5 linked regions of the Oryzias latipes genome follow. The protein of the gene in region 4 purifies or fractionates together with the protein of the main gene of each other region. This does not show direct contact. Links are inferred from orthologs where the notes say so. Each region holds a gene or a part of one and is shown on either strand. Other genes may lie near its edges.

Region 1 (6,194 bases), on a different chromosome or scaffold from region 4:
CCATTGCAGTAAGCAGGGTTCAGCACCTCCACCTGCTCGCCCAGAGACTTTTCTCTGACTTTGTAAGTCTGCAGAAGCTGCATGGGGACTGAGGAGTCCTTCAGCTTTTCCTGATATTTCTGTGTACTTGTGTATTTTAGGAGAGTTCTCTGCAGACTGAGGAACAACGTCAACTCAGCAAAATCTTCTTGCAGGATCACTGCAACTCTGATATCAACATCAGCCCATTAGACAAGCACGGCACACAAAACAGTCCGGTCAGTTCTGAAACTTGTGTACAGAAATTGTTGCACTACGATAGTAAGGTGATAAAGAATCATGTGGGAAAGTTTGGTGACTGTAGTTTTAGGATGTTCAGAACAGTTTTGTTCTGAAGTATAAAAGCAAAGACTTTCTTCCAAAATCATTGTTGTAACTTGAATGTGATTATGAGTTTTCATGACTAAATCATATCAATGTAATTGTTATTTTAGTTTCATTTTTTTTTAGAGATTACACTCCTCAGTGTCTCACTTCCGTCTCTGTCAGCAGCAGGAGATCTCATCCCAATCCCATTACAAGGACACAAAAATCTGATCTTTTTTCTGTTGAAACGACTTTGTAGGTCGTTGTTCGCGTTAAGACAAAAAGCAAGAGACACTTGTTGTCAGTTTTAATTGTTTATCAAGAGTTTTTGAGGCCCGAAATCAGAGTCTGTGAATATCTTGCTAACATTAAGCAGCTGTTTTTGTTAGCCATTGGCCTCCTGCTTAAACTGCTGCCTTATTCCGCTACGATGGCAGTAAAAAGTCGTAATCTGTTCATGAGATGCAGACTTTTACTCTGACATTTATTTGAAATAACAAGCTTGAAATACACAACATTGATCAAAATAACAAAAGAAATAAACTTCCAATCCTGATAGGGAGACAGCATCCAATTTCAATTGAGTCTAAAATCACTTGATCGGGCCGTGAGGGACATCCATAACCTTTACCAAGTGATGGTACCAATTCACTACCGTGTACCAACCTTTGCTATCCTTGAACCTTGACTATCATGCAATACTATCTGCAAAGCTTTGGCGTTTATTTCCTGTCAAATCCTAAAGGTTGTTAAGTGAAAATCAGGACTTTGTCCATCATCTCTGATCAGCTGTGTATTTCTATCATTTCCTGTCATGTGTGTGTTGCCAACTCACTTGGCTTTGTCAAATTCTTTAGATTAGTGTTTCTTAGAGGTTACATGTTTTGTTTTGTTGTTTGACAAAAGGTAACATTTGTTTATGAACCCCTAACTCTTGCTTTTTGTCATTGCTGGCATTCTTCCCCAGGGACTGCAGCTGACATTGAGCTCTGTTGGTTCATTTGTTAAAAAGTTTATTAATGTTGACTGTTCTTGTTTAACTGAATAAATAAAAAGAGGCGATGCAGAAGCATGGCAAAGTACCCATTTCGGACAGAACATCCCAGTAAAGAAGTAACAGTTAAAACTGATGAGAAGAACACAGCTACTCCTCATTGATACCAGTGTTTGGTTCCAGGTTCAGAAGCTGCTGTCAATTTGCTATGTTCTGGTGGAATCCTGGGAGTTACCCAGTCGCTCTTTGTCTGGGAGTTCTGCTCCAAGGAACCAAATCTCACCCAAACTGGCTGAACTCAAGACAGGAATTCTTCTTCTGATCAGGGTGAGTACATGCACAAACCTGCCACACATGACTTTTGGCTTTGACGTCAATTGTGCTACTACTTGAACTGTAGGCCAATCAGAATGTGGCTGAGATATATGAAGACACCCTGTCTCTTCCACTGGGGGAGTACATAGACTATTATCATGGACTTGGAGCCGATGGCTCACTGCGGCGGACCTACGAACTGCTAGCTTGTTTCAAGAAGGATATGCATAAGGTGAGAAGGAGGATAGCAAGTGTGATATGATAATGACAATGATGACAAAGAAATGTCTGTTTTTGCAGGTGGAGACCTACCTGACTGTGGCTAAATGTCGACTGTCTCCAGAGACAAACTGTATCCTGTAGTCATGCTGCCCCCCACCATGACAATAGACTCCGCTTTTAAATAATTATGTTAGCATTAGCAGGAATAGGAGGTGTCATAATAAAGTTTGTGTTGCATTCTCAGTGTCTCTTTTTCTGAAAACAACAGGAAGCTTAAAGAAACCATGGAATAAAAATCTGAGTTTCTCGTGTTCTCCATACTCCCACCTGTCTTATTCTACATGACAGGGTGGGCAAAGGGGACCTCATCGTAGGAGCAGCTTCACCAGCTTTCAGCTGCAATGAAGCTGCAGCATTTAAGTTTGGCTTTTATTTTAACATTCATGTGCTTCATAAATGCTCTGATTTGCAGCAAAGAAGCTGTTTAGGAGCGGGACAGAAAACTTTTTACTATCTGTCACAAGTCTTCACTTATCTCTCTGAGACCCGTCAATGTCATTTTTACCCTTTCAACCAACAAAACCCATGGGCTTCAGTTCTTTATGAACGAAAAAGGTTTTGTAAAAAAATGTATATTTGCTAATAGAAAAAAAGAATTAAGAAAAAAATTACAAAAAATGTTCCACCAGGGTGTCCATCTTCTGCCTATAGAACTTTTCAGTGTACAGGAGATTGAGGTTCATTTACAAACAGCTGCTTGCTGAAAGCATGCTTTACAAGATATGAAAGCAATATTTCTCTTTCATTAACATTTTCCGCTTGGACCTACACTAAACAATTTGATCTGAAAGTGAAAAGTTAAGTTTCACAGAAAAAATAATGCAGCTAATCCAAAACTCAAAAAAGGAATATTTGAAACAGTAAATTTTAGTTTTGAATTAAAGAATTAAAAAAAAACAACACCAAATTTATACATTTAAAAAAGTTATGCAAACTTTAAGGTGATTATTAAAAAAGTGTAAAAGAATATTTTTGTAAAAGATAAAAAAATTGAATGTTATTTCGTGACATATTTTAGTATTTAACATTAACGTGTTTTAACTTTTGTTTTGTCGAATGAAAAATCTTTCCTTCAAACAAACAAACACGGTGCAGATTTTGCTCCATAACAGCTGATGACATTTTCCGCTACTGACTTAAAAAAGTGATACCAAGACTTGCCAGCAGTAGGCGTCAAACAGCTATTCTACCTGCTATTGCTGTTGCCGCTAGAGGGCAGTGTGTTCTAGGCCTATGGCTCGGCGTTTTCCGGCAAAACTCGGAAGGTAACGGTCGGACGTTCAAATGTTCGGCCGCATCGGCTCCTCGCAGAGATAGAGCTGAAGAAAGCCGTGAAGAAAGCAGGAGAGAGGTCCCTGGAGCAGAGATACAGAGTCCTAAAGCGGGATGACAGTGCTGCAGGAACCTGTCCAGGTAAGAAAACGCCGTTAGGTCGTTGTCACGAACCGGAATACGAACATTAGCCGTCACCGGCCTCAGCATCTGGCTCGCTCAGGCTCAGCCCGAGCTAAAACAGCATTCTTCCGCCGTCGTAGGCCTCGAAGTTCGCCCGGAGCCTTTTCTCCGCGCCTTCCCGGCATCTGCTCGGGGCTGAGCGGTGTGCTTCTTTTCGGTCTGCGGGCCAAGCTTCGTAGAGGGCCGGTTTATCCGCTCCATGGCGCGTAACTTGGTCAGGACGCCGGTCCCCCGGCTGTCGTTGACACGTAAACGGGCTGGAACGTTTTCTCTCCTGGTAGCTTCCGCAGCAAAGAATCGAGCGGAGAAGACAAAGATTTGTCCCCGCTGTGAGACCGTCACTGGGTCAAGTTTAGTTCAGGTTTGGATAGACTAGAGGTGGTCCTCAGGATTTTGGAACACTTGTCTGGAACGTTAGATCTGCTAGCTAACCGGCTAGCGCCTTAACAACCCGCTTTCGACGGCAGGAATAAGGTTCTGTAGCTTCAGACTGAACCGAACCGTTCTCCAGGTTCGCTGTGGGGTTCCCGCAACAGTTCTGCCTCACGGCACCCGCAACATATCACGCTTAGCGGGGCATGGTTAGCGTCGGCTAACCAGCTAGCTCTAAACTAGCTTTTTAGCTAGCTGTTGGTAAACGGAAATACTGCATGTAACCAGCGCCGACTGACGTCACAGCTCAGGTGTGCCGGTCCCTGATCAGGCAGGAGGGTATGGTAATGTTAGAGCTTTAAAAAAGTATTTGCCTTTAAACGTAGATCAAAGTTCTGATCTAATATTCAATAAATATCTAATATTTAAAAATGATGACGCAACCTGTGCCAAAGCAGAACATCAGCAACTTGTGCCAAAGCAGAACCACAGTAACCTGTGCCAAAGCAGAACGACCGTAACCTGTGCCAAAGCAGAACGACCGTAACCTGTGCCAAAGCAGAACGACCGTAACCTGTGGCAAAGCAGAACGACCGTAACCTGTGCCAAAGCAGAACGACCGTAACCTGTGCCAAAGCAGAACGACAGTAACCTGTGCCAAAGCAGAACGACAGCATCCTGTGCCAAAGCAGAACGACCGTATCCTGTGCCAAAGCAGAACGACCGTATCCTGTGCCAAAGCAGAACGACAGCAACCTGTGCCAAAGCAGAACGACCGTATCCTGTGCCAAAGCAGAACGACAGTAACCTGTGCCAAAGCAGAATGACAGCATCCTGTGCCAAAGCAGAACGACCGTATCCTGTGCCAAAGCAGAACGACAGCAACCTGTGCCAAAGCAGAACGACAGTAACCTGTGCCAAAGCAGAACGACAGTAACCTGTGCCAAAGCAGAACGACAGTAACCTGTGCCAAAGCAGAACGACAGCATCCTGTGCCAAAGCAGAACGACCGTATCCTGTGCCAAAGCAGAACGACCGTATCCTGTGCCAAAGCAGAACGACAGTAACCTGTGCCAAAGCAGAATGACAGCATCCTGTGCCAAAGCAGAACGACCGTATCCTGTGCCAAAGCAGAACGACAGCAACCTGTGCCAAAGCAGAACGACAGTAACCTGTGCCAAAGCAGAACGACAGTAACCTGTGCCAAAGCAGAACGACAGTAACCTGTGCCAAAGCAGAACGACAGCATCCTGTGCCAAAGCAGAACGACCGTATCCTGTGCCAAAGCAGAACGACAGCAACCTGTGCCAAAGCAGAACGACCGTATCCTGTGCCAAAGCAGAACGACAGTAACCTGTGCCAAAGCAGAATGACAGCAACCTGTGCCAAAGCAGAACGACAGTAACCTGTGCCAAAGCAGAACGACAGTAACCTGTGCCAAAGCAGAACGACCGTATCCTGTGCCAAAGCAGAACGACAGTAACCTGTGCCAAAGCAGAATGACAGCAACCTGTGCCAAAGCAGAACGACAGCAACCTGTGCCGACTGTTTTTTTCTTAGCTGCACTCAGATTTAGAACCCAGTCGCGTTGATTCTCAGTTTAAAGTTTAACCCGTTCTCTTTATTTTTTTATGCACCGCTACTTAAAGGAGAAACCATAAAAGCATTTTTACTTTTTGTTACTAGTTGCAGTAGAACTGGTCTCAAATCTACTATTATCATTCACTGATTCTGAAACACTTCAATTTAGTTTAATTGTGTCTGTTGGCCACTTCACCTTAATCCTGTTCCTTAAATGTTGTTATTGCTTCTTCTTAAATTTAACATCTAAAATAATCCAGACGTTATTAGAAAAGTGTTTCAATTAGAAAGATGACTTGGACCAAACTCTGGGATGTTTGGCTGTTAAGAAACACAAACCTTGAAGGAGAACTAAACTGTTGACCTTTGATTTCATCAAGAAGATTTAAAAACTGTTGAATGTGTGTTCGTTGTGATTTCAAGACGTTTAACAGGGAAGACTCATTGTAGCGCAAAGTAGGGCTGGGAATCACAGGGTACCTCAAGATACGATACGATTTGCGATACATTGCTCACGATAACGATACTATCACGATATGGCGAAAATCTCGTCTCTAATTACGCTCGATATATAAACTTTAAGAAAAAGAATTTGAAAGGGTTATTTTGGAAAATATTTCCCCATTTATTTTTTAAAAACCATGATAATAAACAACGTGTCGTGTGTCCTATTTGGTGTAATGAATAACAGACTTTTGTGTAGCATTGCTGAAATCAGTAACACTCTGTCTTTGACAACCAATGATAATTTTCTTTTGGAAATATTTGTACAATTTGGTTTAAACAATAGTGAACATGAACAGCAGCCATTATTTAGTACAAAATTGCTGTAAACACGATAGAAAATGAA
Region 2 (6,204 bases), on a different chromosome or scaffold from region 4:
TCCTCTCCTCTCCTCTCCGTTTGAACCGAACTGTGCTTCTCCTCTCAGCACTTTAGCATCACAGCTGACTGCAGGTGCTGTTGCCATGGAGACCACCAGCATCCTATCCCCATCTGAGCCCTGACACAAAAACTCTGAAGCAGCTCCCCTGGAGTCAGTGAGGAGCAGCATCACCTCTCTGCAGGAGGTCCACCAGAACTCCTCTGTTCAACTGCAGAAAGGAGGCGTAACTGGTTAGAATCCAGCTAACGGAACCGACAGATCCACAGCAGGACTCCATTTTGGTGGAATCTCCCTGTTTTTTTATGGATTGTAGAGACAGACTTCACGATTTTACCCGGAAATGAAACATAAAAACCTGCTTTGTGGTTTTTTGTCAAAGCGTTTCGCATCTCAGAGACTTTTCTGTGCCGAGAAATCTTCATATTATAACAGATTAAAGGAAAAAGAACCGAGAAAGAAGCACGCAGATCCGGTTCCTCACCCGTCCTGCTTCCGGTCCACCTGCAGGTCCTCCAGGTAAATGGACTGCAGCACCTCGATCTCCGACTGAACACTGCGGACACAGAACAGCTGATTGGAGACAGTGTTTACTGTTTCATAAGCAGCTGTTCGTTAGCTTTCCTTTAGCTAACTGTCCCGTTTCTGACAAACGGGACAAACGTGACTCAGATTAAAGAGCGGATTATGTGAGGCGACATTAAATAATCTCTGTTTGATTTTTTTTAAAGTCGTTTAAAGACAAATCACAGGAACTGTTGAGACACTCACTCGCTCTCCACGGCCATCATGTTTCTGCTGCCGACTAGCGGAAGTTACGTCATTTATCTGACTTTCAGAACAAAAGCACGCTTTTATTTTTATATTTTTTATTTTTTCACAGTGAGAAAAATGGTAAAAAACAATTTGATATACAACGATTATGTTGTTTGTGTGACATCACATTAATGCTGATATTTTAAAACAAGTGAGACTTAGATTTTTATGCTCCGGGGGTTAACTACAGCCTCCTCTTTCAGGTTAAGTTAAAATAGAAGTATAGATTTTTTTCAACATTTACATTTAAAATATGAAATCCTAATGTCATATTGGAAATAGCTCAGTACAACGTTTAAGGAAGTAAATGCTGTTTGTCGGCAGATAATTTTTGTTTTTTCTTTAAACGAACAAAACAGTTTTGATGTTGGTGCAACAGCAAGGATATGTTAATTAAAGCAAACACAGTTAATAATAAGACAGATTATGTTTAACCACTAATCCGTCTGTCTATAGGGAAAACTTAGATAAGATGTTTGCAAACTTAATTAGAATTTTTTTTTAAACAGGGTAATTGGTTCCTGCTAAACCAAATTACCGGTAAAAAAATTACAGTTTATTTAGAAATTAATTGTTTATTTTAACATTTAAACTTATATTTTATTCAGTAAAGAAAATGCAGAGACATTTTCAAAAACGTGAAAATAAATAGTTTCCGTGAAAATACATAGTGGATGTAACTTGTCTTGCAGTTCACCAGTTTGTCCACAAGAGGGCGATAAGGATTTTGACTGTGATCACATTTTGTGTGTTTTTCCATTATAAATCATTGTTCTGTTGTATCTGTTTGCCCACTGAGGCAGATATCATGTCATAACCCATCCTCACACGTAAAAACATTTTTGATCGGGTAAAATTTGATTTTTTTAAGTTTTTCAACAAGATAATCATTTTTTCTGAGTTATTAATTTAATTGTATTTATTTCGTAAATACTTTAGTAAATGTTACAATTTTGATAAGATAAGATAAATATGCTTTTTTATTACAACCTGAGACATTTAATTTTGAATAAATTAATTTGATCGATGTTGATTATTTTACATAAAGATTAACTTAATTTGGTAAATAATTTTTCTCCAGCTCTTAGTTGCTGTTACAAACATTACGTGTTGCAGTTTTCCACTCTGTCCACACGAGGGCAGTAGTTGTTCACAAAAATGCAAAATGCAAAACAGACTTCTTTTAAATACTTTTGACTACTTTTTTTTACAACTTTTAAATTTTTTGCACGTACATCATGCAAACAACTAAAACAACGAAGAAAAAACAGAACGATGCGCATTAACAACTGTAGGTGGCAGCACTGCCATCTTTCAGCGCTAAATACAGTAGAAGAAGTCAAAGAAGATCTGAACCCGCCATTCAGTAGGAGGGGTCACGTGGTTTTGTTTTGTTAATAAATAGTATCTTTTTCTTTGTATATTACTGTGTTTTTGGAGAAATAATGTGTATTTGTACCTTCAACTAAACCTCTTAAAACCGGCACGCGCCTGTTTGGACTTCCGCCCGGTTTGTTAATTGAGGAGAAAAACCCATAAAATGGAGGAAATGATGGAAGACTCGGAGTCTGTGGAAATGTCTGGACCCGAACCGGTCCAGGGTGTCGCGGCTGCATGGGATTCGGTCTCTGCGGCTCTGGTGAGTGGACCCGAACCCCGAACCTCAGTGTCGGAGTCCAACCATGAGTGAGACGTCAGTTTATCGAGGTTATTCACGTCTCCAAATCTGGTGGTAGTTCACTTTGATGAATCTCACACATTTAAAACAATCTGTGGATCATTATCAGACTCATTAGACTGCATCTATATGCGTGATATTTTCATTTGTATATCAGTCACAGATGAAGCTTTGAAGGCGTTTTTAAATCTGCTCCTCCTTTCAAACACACCTGAGTTTAGAAAAAACTGGTTCAAAGTTCTTCATTGCTGTGTTTGAACTAAAAGTAAAAGCCAATCCGAGCCCAGGATCTGCTCTGGCATCAGCACGTACAGCAGCTTCTGGACGGATGCTGAGGCTCTGCGTTGGGTTCTCTTGCAGGTGTCTCCTGGCTTCTCGGTGTCGGATCAGAACCTCGTGGACGGCCTGGCTCTGCTCTGCCGTCGGGGTCTGGCTCCTCTTCTCGGGGTGTGGCTGCTGGAGACCTTGCAGATGCGTTTGTCGTCCTCCGTGGTTCCAGAGTTCTGGTGTGGACTGAAGCAGCCGGAGAACGAGCTGGAGGAGAGGGGCCGGGCCTGGGTTCTCCTCACCGCCTTCAGGACTCTGCTGGACCGCCTGGAACCCTTCCTGAGTAAGACCCAGACACCGGGGGGTCCACTGCTGTCGGACATTTCTGACACGTCTGCTCCTTAGGTGGTTTGGAGAAGCTGGGGGCGTGGCAGCAGGAGGGCCGCTGTGGTCTGAGCGGGCCGGGACCCAAAGGGCTCAAGGAGCAGGCCTTCACGACCATCAGAGCGCTCCTGCTCTTCTCGCCATCTCCTGTCCTGCAGGAGCGTGTGCTGGAGTTCTACAGCCGGACCTTCTCTGTTTACATGAAGCAGGAGGGGAACGCCGAGGATGGGGCAGAGGCTCCGGATGGTTCTGAGGGAGGGGCCTGTCCGGGCTGTGGGGTCCCGCTTCACCAGTGCTGGTGTCTGGAGGCCCTGGAGCAGCTGCAGCAGCTCAGCCACATCCTGTGAGAACCAGAGCGAAGCTCCTTGCAGCTCCTGTGGTCTGTCAGAGTCTGACCTGCTGTTTGTGGCTGCAGGTCCAAACTGCAGCTGCTGGACTGGGTCAGCTCAGAGGCCGTCACCTCCATCCTCCACAAGCTCATCGAGCAGCGGATGGAGCAGCACTGCCGCGGCGAGTACGAGCGCTCCTTCCTGCTGAACTTCCAGGAGGTGAGGCATCCGTTGTAGCAGCTCCCTGGTCGGCTCCGTCTGAACCTTTCCGCCTTGCAGTGGTTGGAGCTGGTGCTCGGCTGGCTGGGGAAAGTCTTTGCCTGTGAGGGGTCGGGAGACGGTCCGGCACCAGCATCTTTGGCCAGTCCGGTCATGAAGCAGTGGAGGTGCCACATGCACCAGTTCTTCTGCAGGATCTACGTCAACATGAGGATCGAGGAGCTCTTCAGCATCATCAGAGGTGACTCTCACCAACCCGACGGAGTTTTTTTTTTGTTTGTTTTTGTCTAACATCTTTGCTCCATATCTCGTGCAGATTTCCCAGAATCCAAAGCTGCGATTGAGGATCTCAAGTTTTGCCTGGAGAGAACTAACCAGCGACAGCAGCTCCTCACTTCCCTGAAATCTGCCTTCGAAAGCCGTTTGCTGCACCCGGGTAAGTAACCGAGTGGTTTGGTAACCGAGTGGTTTGGTAACCGAGTGGTTTGGTAACCGAGCAGCAGGTCTGTATGTAGCTAAGCAGGGAGTAGATGTCAGCGGCGGGCCGGTACCACAGAAGCCGGTCGTTATCAGCAGGTCGTCGGTACCCAAGATGCCGGTTTCTACCTGAGCGGCGGCTTAGCAGCAGTGAGGGGAAATAAAACCTGTAGCTCAGTGGGTGTAAAGTTCTGTCACGACTCTCCAGAACCTGTGGAGGACCGACTGTCCTGTTGGATCCTCCAAAGGTTTCCTGATTCTGTTGAATGCTTTTCTCTTAAAAATAATCCTCATCCTCAACTTGTGTGCAGGAGTTCACACCTCTGACATCCTCACCGTTTACATCTCAGCCATCAAAGCCCTCAGAGAGCTGGACCCGTCCATGGTCATCCTGCAGGTTGCCTGTCAGCCAATCAGAAAGTACCTCAGGTGAGTTTGCGTGTCTGCGGTCTGACAGGCGGTTTCAGGAAACCCGCTTCAGTTAGAAATGTGTTCATTGAACCGTCTAAACCGCAGCGCTGCCTCTTGCTGTTCAGGACTCGGGAGGACACGGTGCGGCAGATCGTGGCGGGTCTGACCGGAGATGCGGAGGGCTGCACCGACCTGGCCTCCGAGCTGTCCCGCGGAGACCCGGTGACGCTGGAGATGCAGGACAGCGACGACGAAGGCACCGACCCGGAGGACTGGACCCCGGACCCGACGGACGCCGTGCCCGGTCGGTGATGGCGTGGTGCGACGGTAGTCGCTCCGCTGCGGCCCTTCGGCTCACCTCTGACCCTTCTGCAGATAAGCTGGGCTCCAAGCGGCGCTCCTCAGACATCATCAGCCTGCTGGTCAGCATCTACGGCAGCAAGGACATCTTCATCGACGAGTACAGAGGCGTCCTGGCCGACCGCCTGCTGCAGCAGCTCAACTACAACACCGCCAGGTCTGATCACCTCCGTCATCCGTTCATTTTCTTCTTCACATTCGTCATTTTGGACTCTGCTCTGTTCCAGGGAGATCCGGAACGTGGAGCTGCTGAAGCTTCGCTTCGGAGAGTCTCACATGCACTACTGCGAGGTCATGCTGAAGGTAACCCCCACACTCGGCAGCTGGACTCTCCTCCGCCAGGAGCTGCAGTTTGATGCGGCGCTCCTCTGCAGGACATGGCGGACTCCCGCAGGATCAACGGCAACATCCGGGAGGAGGAGTCGCGGCTGAGCGAAGACGAGCAGCCGCCGCTGCCTCTGTCCGCCATCATCCTGTCCTCTGAGTTCTGGCCGACGCTGAAGGAGGAGAAGCTGGAGCTGCCCCCCGTCGTGTGCCGGGCCATGGAGGCCTACACCCACAGATACGAGAAACTGAAGGTGGAGTCCAGCTGTTTGTTTTTTCTGGAGGATTCTACAGACAGACAGCTGTGGATCCTCTTTATGAACTAATATTTAATCTGATTGTTCTCAAAGTTCATTTTCTGCTCGTCTTGAAGCCACAGCTTTGATGCGACCGCAGCGTTTAAAGTTCAAACCCAGTTTGTCTGTCCTGAACGGGGTTCTGTTTGGATCCTCATTTCCTCCTGCTCTTCAGGCCATGAGGACCCTGAGCTGGAAGCCTCACCTGGGATCCGTCATTCTGGACGTGGAGCTGGAGGACCGAATCCTGACCAACCTCACCGTGTCGCCCATCCAGGCCGCCATCATCCTTCACTTCCAGGACAAAAGTGGGTTCCTTTGGTTCAGTGTACAGCCTCCACAGTCCACACCACTTCAGGTTTTCTGCTCAGTTTAAGCTTTATGCTGAGATGAGCACACCCCACCCCCCTCCTGCATCCTCACATAAAGAGTCATCTTCAGATGAAGCAGCTTTTCTTCAGATGTTTTACTCTTAAATTTTTGCTCTAGAATTCTCTGAACTTGCAGAAAATGTTTGGTTTCTGCCCTCGTTTCCTTTGGATTACGCAGCTTCAAATTTATGTTTTGCTTCAGTTGCTCCAGAAACTGATCATTTATTTGGTCTGTAATGACACATTTTTTTTTATTCGGTTTAGATCAGGGG
Region 3 (5,553 bases), on a different chromosome or scaffold from region 4:
TTGAATTAAATATGATCAGTGTTTGCACCTTCTTTTTAATGTATTTTTCAACATGTGTTATACCTGCTTTGTTACTGACTAAGGTGAGGGTATTAACATTCATGCTACGGTACTTTAAAAGTGAATAAGATCACCTTTGTTTCCTGATCTGATGCTTGGTTTGTACTTCAACAATTCTTCCTAATACAGCACGAGCCCGTGCCATGTGGCCTGTAGAAAACATCAATAAAAACAGTTCTACTTTGGTTTTGATGGAATGAGGTGAAAGGGTTTAAGTAATTTATCCTCAATTTTTGATTAGAATTTGTAACTGTTGAAATTCAAAAGTTGAATTGGTTTTGACTAAACCAGGAGTCTAAAACCTTTAACACTAATAAAGGAGCAATTTAGGCCACTTTCTCACTAAAACCCAACCAGAACCAAAATCCTGCTTCACCATTAAAAATTTTTTAAATTCTTTTGTAGCCAATTTATTTATAAAATAAAGCTTCTAAATATAAACAATAGTTACATTTTAACAATGTTAGACTTTTTTATATATAAGACTTTAAAATTGTTTTACTTTTGAAAGTAGCGCGTACAGGTTCCTTTCAAAATAAAATACACCCAGTGTCAAATAAGATCCTCCTGCTGCTGCAGATTTACTTGAATTAAAAATGCGAAAAAGCGAGTCCAACATGGTATTTTCTTATTTTTATGACATTGGTGTGCTGCCATTCTTTTATCTTTGTTTACTATAGAAAACAACAATGACAGTTAGAATTCTTAAAAAACATCTATACATATAAATACAATTACAGTATGTATTTTAAGAACTTTTCCTCTGAATATTAACTAGATACTGTTGTGCAGCAGAAAATAAGATTGTGCGCTGTTTGTCTATTCTAATTATAAATCAATTCAATAGTAGATTAAACCTTTTAACCAGTTATCTATCTGACATGTTAAAAATCTAAGCACAAAAGGCAAAACTTAATTAACCAAAAACAAATTAACCAAAACTGCAGACCCATTATTTGCATTTTTCTTTAAAGCCAAAGAGCCACAATAAGTGGATAAAAGAGCTGCATGTGGCTCTGCATGTATATGTTTTAGACCCCTGAGCTGAACAATCTGCATTAAAGTGTTGATAACTAAGTTAGATTGTTTGACTTTCTTTGAGAACTGCATGTTCTTTTTCATCCTCAGAGTATAAATGCCATGTTGGTTCTGGAGGCCTGTGGTAGCTTGGTTCTTTACACAGGAATCACCAGGGTAAGTGTTGCTACATGATAGCAGTTTAATACAAAGATGCTCACATATGAACCGTTCCTTTAAATCATTGAGACGGGATCTCTGTGTTGTGGTCTTAAGTTTGGTTTGGTTTTGTGCCCCCTAGGTCAGTAAAGTGTTCGTCCCTGGCCTTCTGTCACCTTCTTTCAGTTTAAGTAGCCAGACCCCCCATCTGAGCACACCTCTGGAAAATGTTAGCACACCTGCTAATTCCAGCCACAGACACATTCAGAGACTTGAAGAGGTACCAGCTTATGCTGCAATTTTACTGTTTGGTTTTGCCAATATGCTTTTGGATTTTTTTCTTTTAAGTTACGAATTAAAGTATGGAAGTTTGATTAATCTTTTCCTTTATGTATATGTTATTTTCTCTGAAGTCACTAAATATTATTAAAATGGTATGATGTCTGTTTTTCTTAGGACAACATGCCTTCACCCCTATCAGATGGTAGAGGTCCAAACATCAAACACCATGAGGCTTCATTTTTAGAAGATTACATCTTTCAGAAAGCTACACCTAACATTCAAACTTTGCGGGATCCTGTCTTCAACAGAGTGACTCTGGTAGATCTGTTTTTGTTGTTTGGATTAGTATAAAATCATTTATTTTTTATTTTCTTTAAAAAATCTTCCCTCCCAGAGAGTTTAATTAATTACGGTAGTTCTCCTATTTTCTAAAAATTGCCAAATAATATCATTAAGATCTTAGAAACCAAGCTATGCATTACTTTTACTTTTGAAATAATTCTATTAATTTTCAGACAAACTTTTGTTTGTATGGAAAGAACTCCTAATTACTAGTTACTTAAACTAACCGTGCTTTGGTCTGTTTGTAAAACTAGTTATAAGATCTGCTTTACTTAACTATCGGTTTTGAAATTAAATTTGAATTGATTCAGTATTTAGTCAGACTTCCTCAGGCGAAAACAAGACAATGCAAGGCTGTATTTTTAATTGTTTTATTAAATGTTGTTATTTTAATTTCTCATTTCATTTCAGATGTAGCAATTTAATTAAGGAAGAAGTAAAAGTAATGTAGAAGAGAACAAGAGACATAAAGAAATCAAAACAATTATTTTTTCAAATACATTTCTATATCTAGTTTCTTTTTTTCTTTATTTTTATTTTTATCTTGATGTGCCATGGGGAGTTGCATAGTTGTCTATCTATTAAAAACTTAAGTCTATTACTTTTCATAGCTTTGTTTATATTTCTTAAAAGGATATAATTTATTTCCAAATTTAGTATTTGTTGCACTCATCCTATTCAGTTAATTGTTATGTTCTGGAATAGAAATGTTTAACTGAGGTTGATCCTTTTTTTCTTCATAAACATGTACATATAAAAAGTATTTTAGTAGTAGTGAAAATTAGACTATACCAAAGGAGGGGAATTTCCCATATTTTTTATTTTACAACCTACATAAAACAGTAGTTTTTCAACGTTTCCTCTCTCGTCAGCACCATGTGTCACGTGCACATTCATGTGAAATTCTGACCAATTTGTGAATGAGAACCAGGAAACAAATCAGTGTTTGTGGCCTCTGGGTTCGTTGAGTCATTATTCATTCCTTAAAGCCCCAGGACCGTAGAAAATGACGCTGACACTTCTTGCTCGCACACAAATTGCCATAAAATCTTCAGTGAAAAACTGTCAAACAGTCTTCAGGCTTTTGCTCTTTTGACTCTGTTATTTGCCATCTCTTTGAGGCATTGACACATCAATCTGATGACTAATTGTTGCCAGTGCAACTCAGTTGGGATTTTCAGAGCATGGAATTTTTGCAGATGGATTCATTCGTTTTGCTTGGTTTAAATTGCCGGAAACATAAAATGTTGACACTTTAGGATCCAAAGTGTCCTTTCTGTAATGTTAGGACGAATTAATTTGGTTCTTTATTTTATAAACATCCACATTTCTCATTAAATAACCCAACTCTCTGCTAACTTTTAGCATTGCTCTATTATTCACTGAAATATGTATTTTAAAGTAGTATCACACCAGAAATTTATAAATTCAGTAAAATATCCCCTTTGGGTTGTTAACAGTTTACCGTAGTTAGAACAGTTATTACTTTGTGATAAGAAATTATCATTAAGCTTCTTAAAGCAAAGAAATGAACAGCTATAAAATCAGTGAAACTACAGCTGGGGTTACCAAATGGGTGGCCAAATGAACTTTATGTGCAATATTTTTCCATAATTATGTCTTAAATAAAATCTTATTTCAATTGTTGTTTCTGTTACCTTGTTAAAGATTTATTTTACACATAAATGTTTTTTATAAAAGCCTTGACTACTGTTTTCATGCTGTGGTATTCCATCTGCCATCCAATCGGATAGTTTCTTACACAAGACATTTCATTTTTCATGTCACAATTGGAAAAGGACAATTGTTTAAAATCAAATTGAGGAAGGAATAATTCAATTTAGCTGCTTTGGTTACGGGCTGCACTTTTAAAAAAGCAGAATGCTGTGACATGCTGCTTGTAGAAACTAAATTATCCTGTCATGACATTGTTATAAATCTGAAATATTCTTGGCAAACTCATCTGCGTTTGTGTGATGTTTCAAGGAACTGAGCAGTGGTTCGATGCTGAGGATCTCCATCCCTGAGATTGCCACGTCTGATTTGGGTAAGCGAACACCCACGCTGGGAACACAGATGTATTTTAGACTTACTGGTTTTTGTTGGTTGGGAATGGTATCTGTTGTTAAAATGTTTAGTTTTTCCATGTGACCACACACTTACATGACTGAGTCACAGCACTCAGGTCATTGAAATTAGGTTTGAGAGCCGCTCTGTGTTTTCAAAATGACGTATAACCCTGTTATATTGAGGATACCCTTAAAAGCCTCTAACACACAAACACAGATGTGCATGCACCAAACCATTATTAATGATTAATGCACAATCCAAGTGTCCATATCTCTGATAATTTTCAATTAACAAAGGACTGTCACATCTTTTACTGTTAATTATTAATCATTATTACAAAAAAAGAACGTTTTTGCTGTTGTATAGTTTTTGGGTTTGATGAAATGACTTATATTTTTGGTAATGATCACATGTTGTTGTTTTTATAGAATAGGTACATCCTTTATATTTTGAAATGTTCACCCGTATCTGAATCACTGTTACTCTCTTTGGGTGATAGTTTATCAATGGATTATCTTTATTAAACACTGTGATGTGTGCACATCTATGTGTGTGCACTCTAGGCAATTTAAAGAAAAATAATTGAAAAAGCATATACACAAAGATGGTAAAATCACAATTAAATAAATGAAAAGATACTTTCTATGGTTTGTACATGCTCATTTAAAATCTTTCTTGGTCACTTTGAGTTGTTGTCTCTGCCATCCTTACATTCTTCTTAGACTTGCCAAGCACTGTGCCTCATTATTTAGTAATCGATCGTGCGGATGAACCTTCCTCCCTTTAATTAAATGGCATTTATCCACCTATCCCTTGACCTTTCCTGCTTTGGGCGTCTAATTAAGATAGCCGGGTAATGTGGACTACAGAACTGATTGGTCAGAGATGTAAGGGGACATAGGTTGTCTAATTATTCTTGTGGAGATAATTTTTCAATTTCCTTTTTTTGTTTTATCTCAAAGTTAGGTTTAGATTTTTTGGCACAACTGAATGGATGTCATCAAAAACTGTGTATTCTAAAATCTCTCTGTGTATATAAATTCTATGTATATTTATTTATATATTCTAAATATTTGTTATTTATTATGGTATTTTCAATTTCTGGACATATAAATCCCAACTTTGAATGAATATAAATTAGGTACCATTAACACAAAATCTGCAATGGCTAAGCTTTAAAATAAGATGTGAATGACCATTTTTGAAATGAGGTGGCAGAAAGTCACACCCTATCTGGATGGATATTTGGTTTTTTGGCTTATAACTTCTATATTAACACTAACTTAAAATTCAAATCCCTAAAGTAAACAAACTGCATTTTTAGGAAAGAAAACTGAGTATTGCTGAAACAAACATAAAGAATCCTATAAACCTAAAGTATTTGAATCTGTCTGATTTTCTGCCAATTTTTTTTTTTTGCTCTGAATGTCTTTCAGTGAGGAACTGCCTTCAGGTGATTCGCTTTATTCTTCCCAAGGAAGTAGCCATGAAGGTCAGTGGAATTTGAGTTGCTGCAATACTGTTGACTAAAATGTGTTTTTTGGTCTATCCTGAATCATCAAAACTTCCACTGTGCATAAAATATGGAGGAAAGAATTTTTGTTTTCTGAAGAACTTAATGGT
Region 4 (6,317 bases):
AAAGCCCTAAACCTGGTAACCGTGTGAATACACCGTGTTCTTTTCCAGGATATTCCAGACTCATCTGCCGACGATTTCCAGTTTGCAGACGGTTGAAACTTTGCACCCGAGCCGGGCAAAGTTTTCACACGGAACACGAAGGGCAAGACCCGCCCATCACCGTTCCCATTGGTGAGTGGAAAACTAGAACCCATGTGATTGGTCTATTTCACCAATCACGCAAGTAGGAGGCGTGACTTAGCAGGACAACCAGGGTTGCTACGCACGCTGTCCACAACTGAAATCCCGCGACAACTCATTTCCTTTTTTTTTTTTTTTGGTCAGGCACGCTTCACTACAACTACCCTGGCTTACTCCTTCATTTGGATGGACTCACATTTGTTTTTATTAGAAACTGATGACCTCTCGTGGAGAGCAGACGTTAAATTGTCATTGGACTATGAGATTTACTGTTTCTCTTTTAACTCGTTTATGTTGATTGCTTCAAAGCAACATTTAAAATCATTTATTTACTCTTTGAATTCGTCTGTTCATAATAAATAAAAAACCCATTTGTGACATTTTTGTTTATTAATTTTCAACAGTGGTTCATAAAATCTTTTTTTTTAATGAAAGGGTTGTTAAAACAGCAATAATGTGCACACTATTTTAACACTTTCAACAGCTGCCATTGACATTTACACAATCTATAAATCATTTAAAATATAGTTGGACAACAAAGAGAGCAACAACAAAACTTGAAATACACAAGATAAATTAGCTTCACTAAAATGCCAAACAATTATTAAATAAAAACATAAAATCCAGTTGTAATTCAGTCATGAAGAACATCAGGATGCGCTCAGCGTATGCCGAGCATCTGCCTGCTCTTGAATTGGCACATTTGCTCCATCTCGCTGAGTTTTTGGGCGCGTAGCTTTGCAGCCTGCAGTCTCAATTTCATCAAGTCCTGAGACGTTGCACTCTGGCGACCCTCTGGCTGCTCATTCTCTATGTTTTCACCAGCAAAGTGGACCTTCTTCTTCCCAGGAGACAAAATCTCCGCATCTAAAATCAAACAGCAGGGATCTGATTAACACGACTTGAAAGCGCTTTTTAATAATCAGGCAGATTTCTTTTGTCAAGAATTTGGTTTGAGCTGAGAATGGCTTTAAAACTTGTTTATTGAATAAAAGTTCATTGTTAGATTACAAAAAAAAGATACTTTATTTACTTGATATAAACACAATAAATATTTCATTCATTCATAAATTCATAGCCCAGCTGTATCTAAGTTCAGTAAGTCCAGAGGTCTTTGTTGGATTCCCCTACCTATGTCTTCGAGAAAGATCAGGTCCTTCTGCTGCTGCAGCTTGTAATTTCTCAGTAAACTCTCTGCTCTAAAACAGAACATAAAAAGTAAGAATTGACTCAAGGATTTTACACGATAATTCAAAAACCAGCAGTTGTTACATTATGCAACAGACAAAAAGAGAGACTACCTTGCAAGCCTTTCGTTTGTGAGCTGTTCACGAACACACAGCTGTTGCTCCCTTCCTGACAACAGAAAACACAATTTATTTGTACAAAAAGAGAGATTATTGTTGAAAACAAAGTTTAGAAAAAAACACCTTGCATTTCAAACTTTTGTGTGTGGACAGATGTGATGGCAACACTTTGGTTGAGAGGATGGATAATCACGTTCCGACTCCTCAAGCGTTTTATAAGGAACATCAGAAACAAGTACAGCAAATATAAAATCTACCAGATTGAAGCATTTGTGAATAAATGTATTAATCAAAGATTGCTTCGAAAAGGGCTGCTTATAATTATTAAGAGAGCAAGACACCCCAAACCCCTTTCTTTGGGATGAACCCATGCGTGGGAACAGAGAAATGTTTTCTAGTTCTTGTGCAATTTGGCAGCGGAACAGTTCAAGGCCTCAAATGTTGTTTCACAATTTCAGAAAAGTATCTCAGACTCTGATAAGTCAAATCCAAAGGACTGGTTTCTCATTGAATGGAGGCCGCTGCACTCAGAATAACCAAAGAACTATATTCTCCCCTTGATTTAGCCTCAGAAATAACTTAAAGCCTTACTCTCCAGCCTCTCCTCGCGCTCCTTCAGTGCTTTCTCCCTGTCCCGCAGAGCCTGTTCCCTCCGCCTGAGCTCCACCGCTGAGACGTGGGGCGCTTCACTCAGCCTCTGCGGGGGGCTGCTGGAGTCTGCCGACTTCCTTCGGGGTCGAACTTCTGACTTTCTCTGCTCATCCTCGACCACGACACTCAGCAGACTGCTCTGAAGAATAGACTCCACAGACGGCCTCAGGTAATCCTGTCAAAAAGCAGACTGGTGCTCAGCAGATCGTCTATTGCAGGATGAAAACAATCAATCCTTTATTTCAGACCTTCAAGTTGAGCATTCTGCTGATAAGAGAGTTCAGTTCCTCGGAATAACGGAAAGGAATTCTTCTAAACTTTCCTTCCCTGATCTTCTCTGCTAACTCCTTCTGGTTGTAAGCAGTGAATGGAGGCCTCAAAGAGGAAAAAATCCAAACATGAATTCATTAGATCAAACAGCCGAGGGAGCGGATGGAAAAGCTTAAAAAAAAAAACTTACGATAATGCGCAGAGTTCATACAGCAAACATCCCAATGACCAAATATCTGACTTTTCATTGTATGACATCCTATTTATTTGTTCCTGAATGAATAGAAAGTGTAAAAAACTAATCAATAACAAGTACAATATTTTTTTTACCTTGTAAATGTCCTTTAGAGATTTTTTTTAGAGAAAAAATAATTTAAAAAAAGCCAAAAATGTTAAATAACTTACTGGAGACATGTAGTATGGTGTGCCAACAAATGTCTTTGCAAAGCTGGTGTCGTGGTTCAGAATCCGAGCTAAACCGAAGTCGCCGAGTTTTACGTTCTGGTTTGCATCGAGGAAGATGTTGGCTGGTTTTAGATCCCGATGAAGGACGGTGGCTCTGCCGTCGCGCCGCCGGTGACACTCCTTTAGTGCCAGAGAAAGCTGCACCATGACTCGCAGGATAAACTGCTCCTCCAAGTACTTCCTGCCATTTAAAAACAACACATGATGATGCAGATAGAAAGAGGATGACTGCTTTTTCTTTCTTCCCATTTGCTCTATTTACCTCTCTTTGATACACTTGCTGATGAGACAAGACAGATCGCCACCTTCACAGTACTCCATGATGATGTACAGCATGGTATTACGGCGGTCTATAATGCGGTCGTAGTACCTCACAATGTTTGGGTGCTTGAGTTCCCTCAAGAGGTTGACCTCTGAGACCAGCATCTGTTTCTCACACTCAGCCATGGTGCCATAATCGAGCTCCTTCCACACAAGAATCTAGAGAGCAGAGATGCTTTAACCATCAAGAACATGTTCATCTTAGTCCTTTTTTCAAACTTAAAGTTCAAGTGTTTGAGTAAAAAATATTATGTTTTACTGATAAATGACAAAAAACATTTAAATGCTACATTTCCTTGATACTGAATTATGTTTAAAGATTTTTTCTTGTGAAATTAATGTCAGAAAAACTGTAATTTCCCAAATATTAAAGTACATTTGTGTCGTTATTGATTTACAGAGAAGCAAGTCATTGTTTTTTTTTTCATGACTTATCAATTAGATAACATTCACACCGTGTATTTATGTATCTTTATTTAAGAAAATACTGTATGCGTGTCTTGTGCCATAAATACTCACTTTCCCGTCACTCTTTCGTTTTATTTTCTGGCATCTTCCATAGGAGCCCGAGCCTATCGTGTACAGCACTTCGTAGTCATCAACACAGGACGGCATCTTGCCTTCGTCAACCGAAACCAACGTTAAAAGTTTCCAAACTTCACGTTAGCGTCAAATGTAAAGATAGGCCTTAGAAAAGTTGAACATCTAATTCAAGTAGTTACTTAAATTATGTTTTTTGCTCATCCAGATAATAAAGAAGTCCAAAGCCGATCTCCTCAAAACACTCGTGTTCTTTGGCATCAGTTGAAAACACAGGAAGTGCTGCTTCTCCGTTTAAATCGGTGCCAGAATTCTTACCTCTAATTGGCTCGTTCCCACGGGCACGACGGTCTCTGATTGGTCAAACAAGGACGCATTTGTTCACGTTGCTAAGAGCTGAAAACCCGCGAGATTAGAGCGGGAAGAAGCATGTTTATTCCCTGTCCACTAGAGGGCACCAAAAACAAGCAGTAGATTTACGGATTTGTTGACATATAATTGAACATACTAGATACAAATAAAACGTTTATTTGGGGAACGTGGGGAACAATTTGGGAAACAATATTGCTACAAAACACTTTTTTCGTATTATCCACATATAAATTGATTTTTCAAATAAAGCCAAGTGCACTTTTTTCTTTTGCATTTAAAATAACTAGTCACATGAGAACAATCCTTCGATTGAATTTAATAAATTTAACCCTGTCGGTAGCTTGTAAATGTACTTAAAGGTCACTGGCTCATCCAACAGCATTTTCTAAGCATGCATTCTAAGATGGATGGGAAGCAGATCCTACAGTCATCGGTCCCTTGATTTGACCTGCAGGGCAGTGAAAGACAGTGACCTCTCACAGTGCTCCTACATCTGCCATGGCTCTGAATTCACTTCATTGCTTCACTGCAGCAGGATGCCTTCTGGCACGACGGTTTAAGGAAAAAAATGCTGGCGTCACATTGTATTTTTCAGACTGAAACACAGAGCGAAAACATTCAAACGGCTTTGGATCATCTCTAGCATTGTGCACCTTTTCATCCCTTTTCTGGTGCTGTGACAGATTGACAGGTGGGAAGTAGCATGTTGGTAATTTCCAGCCCGTGAAATTGAAGCGTGACTGGAGCAAATCCTAACCACGACAGCTGGTTTTTGTGAACGTGTGATCCGTACTGGAGATGGATGCAGCGTCTGGGACAGTGGTCTAGCCTCTCAGTGGGGCAGCCAGCATAACAAGTCAGATTATCCCCACAACTCTGTCTGCTCTTGAGAGAGTGTTGGACCGGTCTGCCAAAAATCCCTCCGCCAAAGGTCACTGTTTCAAAAAGCTGGACATCAGCCAGGGACAGTTGTGAGGTGGAAGAGAGAGGAAGGAGAGACACCATTGGAAAACTGGCAGCTGAAGACAAGACGTACAGGTGGCTCAGGCCACTGTGATGTCAACTGCCCCCCATTAGAGGGAACGAGCAGAGCCCGAGCGACAATAACCCCCTCACCTGAGGCACAAATTGGTGTCGCAACAGTCGTTGTGACTTAAGACTCCTTTTTCTGGGTCCAGAAGCAGGAGCAGGAAAAGATAGCTCTATGGTTATTGCTACTTTTTCTATTTTTGTTGAATTTCATACAAAAATTGTGTTTTTTCCCACTAATTTATTTTTTGTATAAAAATACAGGGAAAAAAAAATCACAACTCAGGTACGAAACCTAAGGCAAACTCCAGTAGAGGATGAACACACTACAAAATACACACTCACTGGGGGGGTGCATATCGTACTCTCAGACTTAAACTATTCGTTATGTCAAGTTTGCCATGTTGACTTCTTCCCTCCTTATTGTGTTTTTAGACAATAATACACTAACTGAATCCTGCTTAGAGCTTTAACAACCTCTGCATCGTTGTTTAGAAATAAAGCAGTGTCGTCTGCAAACAGCTAAAGGAATGGTTCTCCATTGCTGTCATGAAAGAGGAGACAGTGGCAGAAGTTGTCAGTCAGACTTCCTCCCTACTTTTGCCAAATTATCCCTTGGTTGTGTTAATATTGTGTTTACTTTACACAATAGTTGCACAATGACTCTAATTTTTTGCAAAGTTTGATAACAGTTTCTTATTTTCACTTCTTTTTCCTCCCTTTTATGTTGATTTATTTTCCACACACATTTGGTTTAACTAGCTGGAAACGTGCCTGCCTGCCGTCTCAGAGGATGCTGCCGCCGCCGTCCATGAATGTCCACGTGTTCTGCAGCTTCGTTTCTCTGCACGAGGAGGATGACATTGAGCAGGAGGGAACACCAAACAGCCTGCTGATATTTTGGAAACCTTGATGCATATTTAATGTCATTCTCTTTTTGCAATTCGAACTTATCTGTAGGTGTAAGAGAGTTAGAGCTGAGGAATTAAGATTCTTCCTGGTCTGTTTGCAACAGGAACCCTAATGTTTACCTGCAGATCCCCTCCATCCGAGCTCACAGTAACAAAAACTCTAAAAAACAGTTTGAACTATGAAATGAGAGTATGCAGAAGGAGAATGTTTTGCATGGAACATGGCAAAGACAAAGTGTAGATATTTTCCTTCATTTTGGTGAAAGGTTTG
Region 5 (4,147 bases), on a different chromosome or scaffold from region 4:
AATGACATCACTGATTATATTGGTGATGACTCTTAAAATTAGTCAATATAAAAGCAGCGCATTTATTTTCCTGTGTGGGCTTCGTTCGATACTTAAAAAATGCCAACGGGTACCGCTATCATCCTACCAGAGAAAGTGATTAGATATTATCTTACATAACTAAATAATGAGTTTCACATTTTCAATTACGTTTACTAAGAAAATATATGTTTGTGTGTTGCCCAACGTATTACGGTATTCATGTGTATCATTGGTAAAGCTAAACTCAAAAGGGCTGTGAGCCCCTGAATTCATTATTCCTTTGTTCTGCCCGCTAAATAACGCCGAAGTTGCTAGCTTGCTAGGACGGTCGGCGTTGCTGGTCTGCGTGGGTTTTAGTTTATCTTTTATTCCAACGTGACGTTGAAATCATAATTTTGCCACACAAATGGGCATCTAACTCAAGTAGATTGCTCACGTCCTGATAATTTCGGTCATTAAAGCGCCTGTTAACCAGAATCTTACAGCGTAAACATAGCTTCACAAAAGCTAGCATTAGCCTATTGCTGCTACATAACTAGCTGTTTTCTCCCTGTAATTTTAATATCAAAGAATGCGATCACATTACCTGCCAATTGTTTTCGAAGAAGTAATGCTGATTGTTCGGTCATGGTACGCGTACGTAACTAAGAAAAAAACTGTCTGTATAGACAAATATCTTCTGGCACACAGAGAGGAGGTCCTGCGATGCTGCTGCTGCTGCCGCCGCTTGGCTCCGTGTTTTGACACAAGATTCAGGTGCTAGCTTAAGTGCGCATGCGTGCTTCAAGCTGACCACGCGTTCGTGTTGTTAAAATATCTTTCTGCCAATGAATTAGACTTACAAAAGGACTGCATTAAAAATACACAGAATACCTCGTTGTTTGAAATGTTTTCAATTTAGAAATTTTATGTTGGGGCTTTTTGGATATTTGAATTCCGTATGTTTGTTGACATCTACATGTTTGAAGAACTCGTTCGGCACACGAACATAATAATACATGGTTGAAAAAAATAAACAATTATAAAGTAAGCCTTTAATTTTCAATTATTCACGCGAAAGTCGATTTTTGAGCTAAATACAAACATACAGTGAAAAGCAGAAGATGCGTTCATAACCATCGGAAATATCAAATTCACATTGAAGACTGTTACAAAGAACAAAAACAAAGTAACAAATGTTTAAATTTACGTTCATCATGATGAATGTGTAAACTAAAACGATTTAAATAAAAATACTAAGATTGTATGAGGGTGAATTGATTGCGCTCTTAACCTGTCATTCGTGAATCGTCTGCTAAAACTAATTTGTACAGACCTACAAATGCAGCAGTGCACGGAAGGAAGGCTGCTGAGCGCCATATTTAATACATCAGAGGCTAGATATTTTTTAGCTAAAAGTTCTAACTTCACACCGAAACCTGTAGAAGAGCCTGCATTTTTTCGGTAAAATGAATGTTATTGATCACGTTCGGGACATGGCTTCGGCCGGCCTTCACTCCAATGTTCGCATTGTGAGCAGTTTGCTGCTGACGATGAGCAATAACAATCCGTAAGTATGGCTTGACTGGGACCCGTCTATTTCCCGAATGAGTCTCTACGCAAGTGTTTTGTGGTTTTCCTCCGTTGTCGCGACAGTTTTATATATATGAAAAAAACATATTGTCGTAGTCTTTACGCTATTGTTTGAATGCGCAGCCTACACAGCTTCTTTCTACATGCTTAGCTTGTGTTATGAGATGCATACAGTTAGCCTTCACTCCATTACATAGCCATGTGGAGACTTTGGCAATAACAGTTTGGTGAAGTGTCATTGAGGGATGTTTGAACTCAAATCCCCCCACTTTGTTCACATGTATTGATGTTTTCTTTATTTACATTAATCAAATGTTTTCATTTTCCGGAGTTGATTAGATGTTACTATTTGTTCTTTCGCCACATTTATATTCAAGAAGATGTACCAGGGGGGTATTCCAGAAAGCAGGTTATGCTAGTTACCACGGCAAGTTTAAGGCTAATGAAGCGGATTATCTCAGTTTTCGGTACCAACAGTGGAGGTCTGTTTCACAGTATGTCAAGTTGCCATAGCAACTCATGCTCTGAACATAACCCGGTCTGGAACAGGTTTAGTTGAAGGTTAGTTTGTTTTCAGAGAGGTGAAGGCAGCATGGTGTGTCCATTTGAAGATGATTTAGTGGATGAAAAAGCTCAGATAATACTTTTTCCACCATAGAGGGTGATAAGACCACATATGGATGTTGGAAAGATAACATTTGTTACATTGATCTAACTTAATTATTTGCTTTAGTTGAGATAAATCTTTTTTGTTTTTTGTTAAGTCAGTTACGTGTCATGTTGCAAATCTGTTTTGATTCATGCATTTTATTGTTGTAAAAATGAGCATATCTGCAGGCTCAAACTTAAACACATGAGAGTTCAAGAAGTACAATAAATTAAGATGAAAAAACATTTAATTGAATTGGAGTGATATGACATTTAGTTAGATAAATATGTAAATTTGAGTTAAAAAAAATATTGAGTTGGATAGACGTAAAAAATATATTTAACTCAATTTCTTGTTACCAATTGAATTAATTCATTTAAGTTGGATAAGTTTTATAAATATATATATATATATATATATATATATATATATATATATATATATATATATATATATATATATATATATATACACATCACAATGGAAATGAGATAGAAACTCTTGTGTTTACTTTGTCCGTTCTTTTTCTCCAAGCAGAAACTCTCTTTTGCTGATGCAGCCGTGTTACTTTTTTAATCTTCATACGCCGTCATTCAAATCTCCGACTCCGTCTCACTGACGTATAGCGCTCTCTTTTTTTCACCACGCGTTTCCATGGTGACTCCGTAGATCGGCAATCCATTGAAAATGTCTTTATGTACTTGCTGTGCACGTGCATTAACCCAGGGTTACCAAGTGGAGCGTAATTACGCTAACTCATATCCGGTTTTTTGGAACCGACATACCCAGAGTAAGCAAGTTCAGGCGGATTTCAGCCAGAGTTCAGGCTTAAAGTCAGGGTAGTTTAAACATGCTTCTGGAATACCCCCCAGAACTCCCCGTAATCAAAATGTAATTTTTTATACAGCTGCTGTTTTCGTAACGTTGCACACTTTAAATGCGAAGCTAGTGCCATAAAATAGAGGTATTGTGCTTTGTAGTTATTTTTAAATGAAACTTGTTCGTTTTTGTCTCCAGTGAACTATTCTCACCGGCTCAGAAGTACCAACTGCTGGTTTACCACGCCGATGCGATTTTTCACGATAAGGAATATCGCAATGCGGCCTGCAAGTACAGCATGGCGCTGCAGCAGAAGAAGGTGCTCAGCAAAACATCCAAGGTTCGCACATCAGCTGGTGGAGCAGCCTCCAACATGCAGACACAGGTGAGGGCTTTATGCTTCAACACATTTAGGAAAAAAAAATATGGATGGATGGATGGATAGATGGATAGATGGATAGATGGATAGATAGATAGATAGATAGATAGATAGATAGATAGATAGATCTCAGAAGTTAATGGTTGCATCCCTACAATATATGCAAGAAAATAATAACACTGAAGACCATGAAAGTGTCTGCTGGCCTGCTGCTTTTGATCTATGACCAATACTGATCCTAGAGTGGGGAAACTACCTTTTAATCACTTGCATAGACACATTTTTGGCAGCAGACGTCTTTATCTCAAGTGACTCTTGAAGGGCACCTCTTGGTTTGTTTTTCCTCATCTTCAGGTAATATTCAAAACAGTTTTTACATTTTTTTGTGGCATTTTCTTCTTGATGGAGGACATATGTAAAGAAAAATTAACCTTAAAAAAGCATTTCTGAGTACTTCTTTATTCAAATCTTGGTGAATCAGGAGCAGATTTAAAGAATGCCGTTTGAAAAAGATTGTATTTGTTACGGCCACAAGCTCCGTGCTCCGCTCCAATCTGATACATCCACTTGCAGACAAATAGATCCGTGTACTTCTTTGTTTTCCCCCTCCAAGCTGGCATCTGAATCAAAACTATTAAGATGGTTGGATAGTTCCAATATTGCTAGCTATTTTTGTTGCACTAATATGTTTAGGTTGGGGCTGAAAG

The links.
Region 1: the proteins of nek2 (region 4) and cdc27 purify together in Homo sapiens (affinity purification with mass spectrometry; 6 studies listed by BioGRID and IntAct, with this or other methods). This does not show direct contact. The link is inferred for Oryzias latipes from reciprocal best matches to the Homo sapiens genes NEK2 and CDC27.
Region 2: the proteins of nek2 (region 4) and anapc2 purify together in Homo sapiens (affinity purification with mass spectrometry; 4 studies listed by BioGRID and IntAct, with this or other methods). This does not show direct contact. The link is inferred for Oryzias latipes from reciprocal best matches to the Homo sapiens genes NEK2 and ANAPC2.
Region 3: the proteins of nek2 (region 4) and anapc1 purify together in Homo sapiens (affinity purification with mass spectrometry; 3 studies listed by BioGRID and IntAct, with this or other methods). This does not show direct contact. The link is inferred for Oryzias latipes from reciprocal best matches to the Homo sapiens genes NEK2 and ANAPC1.
Region 5: the proteins of nek2 (region 4) and anapc7 purify together in Homo sapiens (affinity purification with mass spectrometry; 3 studies listed by BioGRID and IntAct, with this or other methods). This does not show direct contact. The link is inferred for Oryzias latipes from reciprocal best matches to the Homo sapiens genes NEK2 and ANAPC7.

What each region holds. Positions count from the first base shown.
Region 1 is NC_019866.2:73,450-79,643, forward strand, and holds the start of cdc27 (cell division cycle protein 27 homolog), read left to right. Parts: upstream 1-2,536; 5' UTR 2,537-3,322; coding exon of another isoform or gene 3,323-3,349; intron 3,350-6,194. Other genes in the region: somatotropin, read left to right, coding at 1-62, 141-257, 1,523-1,666, 1,740-1,886, 1,955-2,017. UniProt on the Homo sapiens protein: Component of the anaphase promoting complex/cyclosome (APC/C), a cell cycle-regulated E3 ubiquitin ligase that controls progression through mitosis and the G1 phase of the cell cycle.
Region 2 is NC_019866.2:2,381,145-2,387,348, reverse strand, and holds the start of anapc2 (anaphase-promoting complex subunit 2), read left to right. Parts: upstream 1-2,147; 5' UTR 2,148-2,356; coding exon 2,357-2,455; intron 2,456-2,854; coding exon 2,855-3,104; intron 3,105-3,166; coding exon 3,167-3,488; intron 3,489-3,560; coding exon 3,561-3,693; intron 3,694-3,753; coding exon 3,754-3,934; intron 3,935-4,009; coding exon 4,010-4,129; intron 4,130-4,481; coding exon 4,482-4,599; intron 4,600-4,706; coding exon 4,707-4,885; intron 4,886-4,956; coding exon 4,957-5,098; intron 5,099-5,168; coding exon 5,169-5,244; intron 5,245-5,315; coding exon 5,316-5,519; intron 5,520-5,736; coding exon 5,737-5,869; intron 5,870-6,204. Other genes in the region: E3 ubiquitin-protein ligase RNF25, read right to left, coding at 485-556, 772-791. UniProt on the Homo sapiens protein: Together with the RING-H2 protein ANAPC11, constitutes the catalytic component of the anaphase promoting complex/cyclosome (APC/C), a cell cycle-regulated E3 ubiquitin ligase that controls progression through mitosis and the G1 phase of the cell cycle.
Region 3 is NC_019873.2:15,539,489-15,545,041, reverse strand, and holds part of anapc1 (anaphase-promoting complex subunit 1), read left to right. Parts: intron 1-1,188; coding exon 1,189-1,254; intron 1,255-1,378; coding exon 1,379-1,516; intron 1,517-1,692; coding exon 1,693-1,836; intron 1,837-3,846; coding exon 3,847-3,907; intron 3,908-5,366; coding exon 5,367-5,422; intron 5,423-5,553. UniProt on the Homo sapiens protein: Component of the anaphase promoting complex/cyclosome (APC/C), a cell cycle-regulated E3 ubiquitin ligase that controls progression through mitosis and the G1 phase of the cell cycle.
Region 4 is NC_019882.2:6,330,996-6,337,312, reverse strand, and holds nek2 (serine/threonine-protein kinase Nek2), read right to left. Parts: upstream 4,040-6,317; 5' UTR 3,810-4,039; coding exon 3,714-3,809; intron 3,354-3,713; coding exon 3,136-3,353; intron 3,055-3,135; coding exon 2,814-3,054; intron 2,682-2,813; coding exon 2,599-2,681; intron 2,514-2,598; coding exon 2,387-2,513; intron 2,314-2,386; coding exon 2,079-2,313; intron 1,537-2,078; coding exon 1,482-1,536; intron 1,380-1,481; coding exon 1,312-1,379; intron 1,048-1,311; coding exon 842-1,047; 3' UTR 552-841; downstream 1-551. UniProt on the Homo sapiens protein: Protein kinase which is involved in the control of centrosome separation and bipolar spindle formation in mitotic cells and chromatin condensation in meiotic cells.
Region 5 is NC_019867.2:25,467,751-25,471,897, reverse strand, and holds the start of anapc7 (anaphase-promoting complex subunit 7), read left to right. Parts: upstream 1-1,347; 5' UTR 1,348-1,469; coding exon 1,470-1,570; intron 1,571-3,259; coding exon 3,260-3,446; intron 3,447-4,147. Other genes in the region: ubiquitin-conjugating enzyme E2 G1, read right to left, coding at 608-650. UniProt on the Homo sapiens protein: Component of the anaphase promoting complex/cyclosome (APC/C), a cell cycle-regulated E3 ubiquitin ligase that controls progression through mitosis and the G1 phase of the cell cycle.